Ovis aries: one gene and its partner. The protein of the gene in region 2 interacts with the protein of the main gene of each other region in a biochemical or structural test. Links are inferred from orthologs where the notes say so. Each region holds a gene or a part of one and is shown on either strand. Other genes may lie near its edges.

Region 1 (3,907 bases), on a different chromosome or scaffold from region 2:
CACTTTATGACTCCGTGCACGGAAGACTTCACTTCCACTCTTTCTAGCCTGCTATCTGTCCTCCCTTACACTTGCATTCAGTTTAGTAATAGCAGCTACCATTCATTGCCACCAATTCTATGCCAGGTACCAGATACATACACTGGCTCCCTTCTCCATAATTATCAGGAACTCAATCTGCAGACAACTCTGCAGGACCTAGGTCTAAAGGAGAGACTCCTTTGCCCAAAACAGGGAAGCAGGAGATCTAGGATTTCTGCTAAATAATGACTCTGTGTTCTAACACTTTTCTTTTGGGGGTCTTAACTCATTATCCACGACTCTTTTGTGCCTCTTAGGAAACGTGGAGAGACCAAGACCTTAATTACAAAGGGTAAAGACCTTTAGACCCTCACTCAGCTATCTTCAGGAACTCTCTATGACAGCCAAGCCATCTCTTTCTCTTTCCTTAAACTGTGGTCAGAAATCCGGAGTTCAGGACTTTCCGGGGTTTGATCCCTAGTCAGGGAACTAGATCCCACAACTAAGAGTTACCATGCCCATCCTGCATTCCGCAACTAAAGATCCCAAGTGCCACAACTGAGACCCAGTGCAGCCAAATAAATAAATAAATATTTTTTTAAAAAAAAGAAAAGAAAACCTAAGTTCTATTTATTCACATTCAGTATTCATGAGAGCTTACTGTGTGCCCAGGCAGTGTGAGGGACACAAGATGAGATCCAATTCCTGCACTCAAAGTTTCATCTCTTTGGAAAAGCAAGACATACGCATAAAAAATTTGACTACAAAAGAAAAAAAAATTTTTTTTTTTTTACTACCCAAGACAATAACTCTATGCCGGGAGGCAGGAGGAATGTTAATATGTGATACAAGAGGACCCTTCCAAGCTGAATCCAAGGTCAAAGATCCATTCTGTGAAAAGGTGGATCAGTTTCTTTCTTAGAACGAGCTTTTATAGACATGGTATTCAAACCCAAGTCTAATGCACAATGACCAATTCACTGACCCATTCCAGTCATAGCAAGTGGAGACACCCCAACAACAAGCTCAAGACAAAATGGTAGCAAATACTGTCACCACCTGAATAGGGATGGGGAAGAAGTATGCAGACCCTACCTGCACTGACCTAAGCAATCAGACTCCTGCAGCAGATCTCCTACCAAATAAAACTTTCATGCCATAGACCAGGAGTGACCCAATCCAACAGAGACGGAGACGCGTTTTAAGTTACACTTCTTCCTCCCCCGATGACCTCACTATTTCTTCTCACTCCTGACCACATACCACAGTCCTCCAGGCCTAGCCAGAGGGAGACCAGCGGTAATACAAGCCAGAAAGAAGGGAACTCTCCCCAAAGAGGACTTACAACTTGGCTAATCAAGTGGCCCGGTTTTAACAGGGAATTCCATCCTACCCCTCACCCCCACCTTCTTCCCTCAAACACTGGTGTAAGCAACGGCTCCATTTTCGGTTCCGGGAATCCTGGTACTTCCTAAAGAAAGAAAGCGGATTGGAAGACCGAAACTCAGAGCTGGCGACCAGAAGCTCCCTCCTCCTGTGAGACCGCCCCCGCTACGCCTGGGGGAGGAAGGCACCACCTCTCTTCTCTAAGCAAGACCAGATCCCCCTCCCCCTTCTGCTGCCTCCTCTCTTCTGGCTCCCCACCTGCTGCCCTCTTCTCAACATGCGGTTCCCAGGACCCGAAAGCTCAACCTCCACCAGGGGCTAGTGCCCCTGGGGTGTCCCACTAGCCTGTGTTCCAGGTTAATCCCTAACCCCCCTACGGACCCCTGCCCCACGATAGGGGGAGGGGTGTCATCATAGCAAGGCTTCTCTCTGGTCTATTACCAAGGTGAAGGCGGAAAGCGGGTAGGAAAAAGCGCTATTCCCTAGCCCTTTAATAGGAAAAGAACACAAAACAGTCATCGCCGCCCCCATGTCACCTCACCCAGGACTGCTTTCCTCCCCCTCAACCCCGACCCTTCAAAAGCCCACCTCCTGCAGGCGAGGGGCTCCTCACTGCAGCCCAGGTCGCCCCCTTGTGCGAGGCGGAGGACAAAACCGCCCCCCACCCCCACACCAGCTCAGCGTCCTTCAAATGCGGGGGCAGGCGTGTGGCCGGCCCGGCGCCCCCTCCCCGAGCTCTCGGGAGGGAAGGACCACACCGCTCTATGCCAGGCAGTGCCGGGCGGGCGAGCGAGCGGAGAGCGGGGCGAGGGGACTCTATCCTCGCAGCCCCCACCCTGAGCCTCTCCTCTACCCGGACCCGCCTTCCCTCCTCCAAGCCCCTCACCTGTTCCTGCTCCCAGCTCCGCCGCTGCGGCCGCCGCCTCCGCCCCCACAGGCTCCGCTCGGCTCTCGCTCCACTCTCTCCGGCTCCCTCAGCCGATTTCAGCGCGGCTGCTCCCCTGGCCTCGCTCCCGGCTCCCTCCTTCCTGCCCTCCACCTAGCACCGGAAGCAGCGACGGCGACAGGAGCTGTGCGGCGCACCCCCACCCCCAGACCGGGATACTTCCCACCTCCCCGATCGCGCGAGAGCTGCGCACCGGCGAGCGGCAGATCTCGCGAGATTCATCACCATGGCAGCGGCTGCAGCAGAAGCAGTCGGTATTGGAGGCGAAGTCCGGGCGGGGTCCGATGTGGGGGCTGGAATCTGCGGGCGGTGGTGGCGGAAGCTAGGGAATAGGGCTGAGACAGTGGGAACAGGTGAGAAGCCCCAGGGTTCTGCCTGTTATTTAAGGACTGAGGCGGCGTAGTGGGCGCAGTGGAGACTGGGGCTCCTTGGGCAGTCAGGAAGCCAGAGAAGGAGTGAACATCTCTTGCTTTGGACCTTACTCCTTCAGCTCTCATTTTCATTTCTTAACCAGGGATAGGTGTAGGCCTCCGAGAGCCCTCAGTGCACCAGTGTTGCTACTCACTGCTAAGGCTAGGTTGCTGGGGGGTGGGGGTGGGAGCTCTGAATCAGGAGATCTTTTTTCATAGGGAAGAGGGAGAGTGATGAATTTAAGAGACTGAAGGAAACAACTGGACACTGGGCCAGTTAGGAAGTTGGAACTTGAAAGATAAACAGTTGAGGCCTAATATTCAGAAGTGTGGTTTGAGGCAGTATACCTCAAGTATGAATTTTAGTATTACAAGGAAAGTGAGGGATTTTGCACCTGTGTTTCTCTGTTCCTGCCTACTCCCACTTTCATCACACTCATTTTTGCACCTGGTCTAGACATGCAGCGTTACCTTGGAACAGTCACAGCTGTGATACAAGAAGGGCACTAATAATGCTAAGCACAGAAGGTTCTTGAAATGCCCTTTCTCCTCATTTACAGCAGTACAGATTTTCCTTGGCTTACAATGGGGTTACATCCCAATAAACCCATTGTAAGTTGAAAATATCTAAAGTCGAAAGTGCATTTACTGAACATCATAGCTTAACCTAGCCTGCCTTAAACGTGTTCAGAATATTTACATTAGACTACAGTTGAGCAAAATAATCTGACAAAAAGCCTATTTTATAATTGTGTTGACTGTCTTATGTGATCTGTTGAATACTATACTGAAAGTGGGAAGCAGAATGGTTGTAAGTGTGTCAGTTGTTTACCCTTGTGATGGTATAGCTGACTAGGAGCTGCAACTCACTGCCACTACTGGGCATCACAGGAGAAAGTCATACCACATGGCCTGGGAAAAGATCAAATTCAAATCACAGTTTCTACTCAAGGCATATCACTTTTGCACCATCATAAAGTAAAAAAAAAAAAGCATTAAGTGGAACCATTGTAAGTTTGGACCATATGTATAAGGAAACACATGGCTCTTCCCTAAAGCTTGAGCCAAAATTGTCGATTTTTTTCATTAGATTTTTTTGGGCCTTATTTCTTGTCTCCTTCCAAGAAGAACTAGACTGGTAGAT
Region 2 (3,907 bases):
TCCATGGAATTCTCCAGGCAGAAATACTGGTGTGGGTTGCCGTGCCCTCTTCCAGGGGATCTTCCCAATCTTGGCATTGCGTCTACTGCGTCTCCTGCACTGGCAGGCGGGTTACTGACCACTGCACCACCTGAGGAGCCCCTCTTAATCTACAGAAATGAAAAGCTCAGCTGAGTTACACGGCTGCTGCGAGGGTGGGATGAGGTGGATGGTCACACAAAGCACCCAGCACGATGCCCGGCCCACAGCAAGCAGACAGACGGACGGCGCCGGGTATCAGTCTTCTGGCTTCCTCGTTACCTTAGAAGGAAACCAATTTAGCATGGTTGATTTTTTTATAAAGGTATGTTTTCTGTTGCCCCCCACCCCCAAAAGTAAGGATGCTAGATAGACGGAAAATAAATTTTTGAGCAGAAGACACTGGTCACTCTGTATGGACTATGATGAGCTGTATAGTTCTCTTCAAGTTTAAACATTCTATAAAATAGGCATCAAACATTATAGAAGGTCAACCCTTGATCAACAAACACTTCATCAAATCAGCAAATTTCAATATGCACTCTGAACTGACATTAAGTTTGGAAGGATACTAATTTATTCACAAAAGAGAATTATCATTAAATTCTTAATCTAGAGGTAATATGGAGAGAAAGGAGATGTCAAGATGAGCAGCAAGAAGACTTAGGGACCACACCAGTGAAACATGCTTTGCCCTTTCTAAATAAGCTGAAGGCCGAAGTAGATACCTTAGGTGAAAAATAAGAAAATGAAAATAAAGTGCAGGAGAAGTTTAAACTTTTACTGAGCTGTACCCAGTGGGTTCATGATATTTAATATGTATTCAATAATCATAAACCTATCAATTTATAAATCCACTGGATCTCTACAACATTGGCCACAAAGAGCTATCCCTAAAAAGAAACCTCAAAACCACAAATCAGGAACTAAATAAGTAGGCAGCCTTACTTCCTTCTCTAGGTCTACGAAGGAATTTAGAAACACTGAAATTCTGAGGTACCTAGAGATTTCATCACCATAAAGCTAGAATCTCTGCATTCTACTCTCCATGGTGCCCAAACTAGCTATGTAGAGTTTGAAAAGAAAAAAAAGCTACACACACACACACACACACACACACACACACACACACAAAAGGTTTTCATTAACTTCAAGAAGACATTGCCGAAGGAGTGGTTTTTAATCTACTAGAGGTTATATATCTCATTTAAGAATTTTCTTCAGAGGGGAGAAAATGCACTGAAACAAAACTCTGCCCATAATTTCGGGGGTGGGGATGAGGAAGTCCCCTGAAACTCACAGACCATGGACTCCCTAAGGCATGACCCAGGATTTAGGCAAACTAATTTATCAATTTGAAAAAGAAGGAAAGTAACTGAGGCAGAGATTTTAATCCAAAAAATAAAATAAAATTAGAAATATTTGCTGTTTTCTCAGTTAAGAAGCGTTAGACCTGGTGGCTGGGAGGGAGGGTTGAGCAAGGAAAAACAAAAGTGGGATTAAAACAGTACTGACATGTAATCCGTTGTCTTCAAATCGAAAGAGCAGCAATAAAAGGGCCACCTCCTACAGCCTTAACACAGGAAGGAGTTAACCAATTCTTGTGCACATTCCCACACCAGTGAGGTTAATTAAACAGCAAATGGGAACACACACACACCTGCCACTTTTGCAGGTGAAAGCACAAGTTTAACAAAAGCCCTTCAAATCGTCCATCTTTTTCTTCCTTAAGAACCGACTCAGAGAAATTACATGTTTTAATCTAGGAGAAAAGGAAGGGAGGGGGACAGAAATCCTAAAAGGGGGATGGTTAAAAGGATGTGCAGGAAGTGGAAAGTACAAACTTTTTGAGATCAAAGAGCTCAACAGGGCGGATAAGAACACAAAGGAAGTAATACTAAAATAAAGTAAAAGGGAAAAGGGTCTAGAAACTGTTCTTAAAAAAACAAAAACAGCAACAAAAGCCTCTTTCCTTTTTCCTAGACACGTAAACAGTAGTAACTTGGCAAAGAGGAACGGACGAGACGACAGCACAACTTCCTTCCCAAACTCCAGCATTCCTTGGACGTCCTCACCAGCACAGTCAGGCTTGGGACATTTCCTAGGCAAGGCTCCTCCCTGCACCACAGCCTGAGGAACCTCTGAGCAGGGACTATCGCTGCGGGAGAGAGGAAGTGGCGGATGCAGGGAAAGAAGATCAGCAATACAGGCTGGACACCAAACCTGAGGGTGGCCCACTCGCAGACTCAGTCGAAAAGACTCGGATCCTGCAGTCCCTTTCCCCACTCAATGCATTCACCACCGGGAGGGTGCCGCCCTGGGAGGGCCGGTCCTACCTCTTCACCCGGCTGTTTCGGGGGCACACTCAGCGTGACAAGAGGGACGAGGGGGTAGAAATCCAAGGCCGAGTACCTGGGTAGAGAGAGATGGCACACACAGTCTAAGGACAGGAGTGCCCTGTGAGAGTACGGAACAGCGAACCCCAGAGGCAACGTGTCCGGCCGGGCAACCAGCTCCAAGCAGCCTTACCCCGCCTCCTTCCCAGCCGGGCAGCTCCGCCCTCACCTGTCTGCAGGGAAGCCGGCAGCACTCACGTCGAGGATTATCCTCGCCTCTGCTCCCTGAAGTCGCCTCAGCCCTGGCCAGAAGTGAGCGGAAACGCGACCTGGGCCTTTTCCTTCTTCCCCTCCCGCCACGCACCTCGGCTCCTCCGGGGCGGGGAGCAACTGCAACTGTCACAGCCTCACACTGCCCAACCTCCGAGGCTACTCGGACCGGCAGCCTCTCCACCGGCGGCGGCCTACAGCTCCTGCACCCGGAGCAGCGGAGCCGGAAGTGAGGGGACCGGAAGTAGCGTTGTCCGTGGCCCTGGACGGCCTCTCTCTCCCTCAATCTGGCCAGCCCAGCCACGTCTCGATGGTGCCAGCGCACCTTCCGCGAGGTCCCCTCTCCAGGGGGGCGGGCCCCGTCCCGCCTACTGCGGCCCTAGCAACCACATCCGGGACTCAGCCGGCGCCGTTGCCCGGGTAATTTTCTGGCTGCGGCCAGGTCCTAGAGGGGTGTGAGCCCGGGTACAGATGCACCTGCCCGAGCTCGCCCCAGGGCGGTCCAGGAGCCCTTAGCATAACTTTCTCACTCACACACCTCAGTCTCACGCGTTAGGCTTTCCCCCAGCAGACGGTGAGCCGGTGGCGGGAGGGCGCCTCGCAATCCCAGGAGAGCCAAATCTTCTTTCTCAACTGCCGGAGAGCACGCAGAAGGTTATTCCAACTCCGCGGGCATTGAGAGGGTGGAGGGAATGCGGGGTTTAGGGAGCAGACGGGATGCGGGTGCCTCACTCTCCTTCCCCAGTGCCCCCCCCCCCGCACCGCTGTCCACTCACGCCCACCCTCTTCTGGACGACCAGACTAGACTCCCTTGTTCAGCATCCCTGAGTTATGATTTGCTGTCTTTGTGATCACTTTCTGCTCTGCTTGCTCGCAGAGAGTGGATCCGTGATCCTTTTCTCTCGTGATCCTCTTTACTCAGATGACCGGTTTCTGCTTTCTTTGCTTGCCCCATTGCTTAATAGATCACTGCCTTGTCTACAGAGACCTCCGAACAGTCCTCTCGGATCCCGTGGTAGTCTCCTAAGTGAAGGCCCCAACCTGCACTCTGGCTATTCTGCCTGTCCCCTCACAGTACGGCTCAGCAGTGGTGCTAGACACTTGAAGCTTATTTGCATACAGTACGTACTGGTATTACAGCCCGCGCTAGTATCCCTTCCAGGTTCTAGACTGCTTTTGACAGCCCTGTCGCCTGCAGAAATGCCAAAGGTAACAGCACACTCCGTGGAATCTACCCCTCGAAACCAGATTTCTCACCTGCCTTGTCAAATTAGCTGACAAGA

The links.
Region 1: the proteins of ARFIP1 (region 2) and ARF3 form a complex in vitro, tested with the Homo sapiens proteins (2 studies listed by BioGRID). The link is inferred for Ovis aries from reciprocal best matches to the Homo sapiens genes ARFIP1 and ARF3.

The regions. Positions count from the first base shown.
Region 1 is NC_056056.1:137,259,998-137,263,904, reverse strand, and holds the start of ARF3 (ADP-ribosylation factor 3), read right to left. Parts: upstream 2,394-3,907; 5' UTR 1,428-2,393; intron 1-1,427.
Region 2 is NC_056070.1:5,073,601-5,077,507, forward strand, and holds the start of ARFIP1 (arfaptin-1), read right to left. Parts: upstream 2,856-3,907; 5' UTR 2,719-2,855; exon of another isoform or gene 2,355-2,718; intron 2,302-2,354; exon of another isoform or gene 2,242-2,301; intron 1-2,241. UniProt on the Homo sapiens protein: Plays a role in controlling biogenesis of secretory granules at the trans-Golgi network. Mechanistically, binds ARF-GTP at the neck of a growing secretory granule precursor and forms a protective scaffold.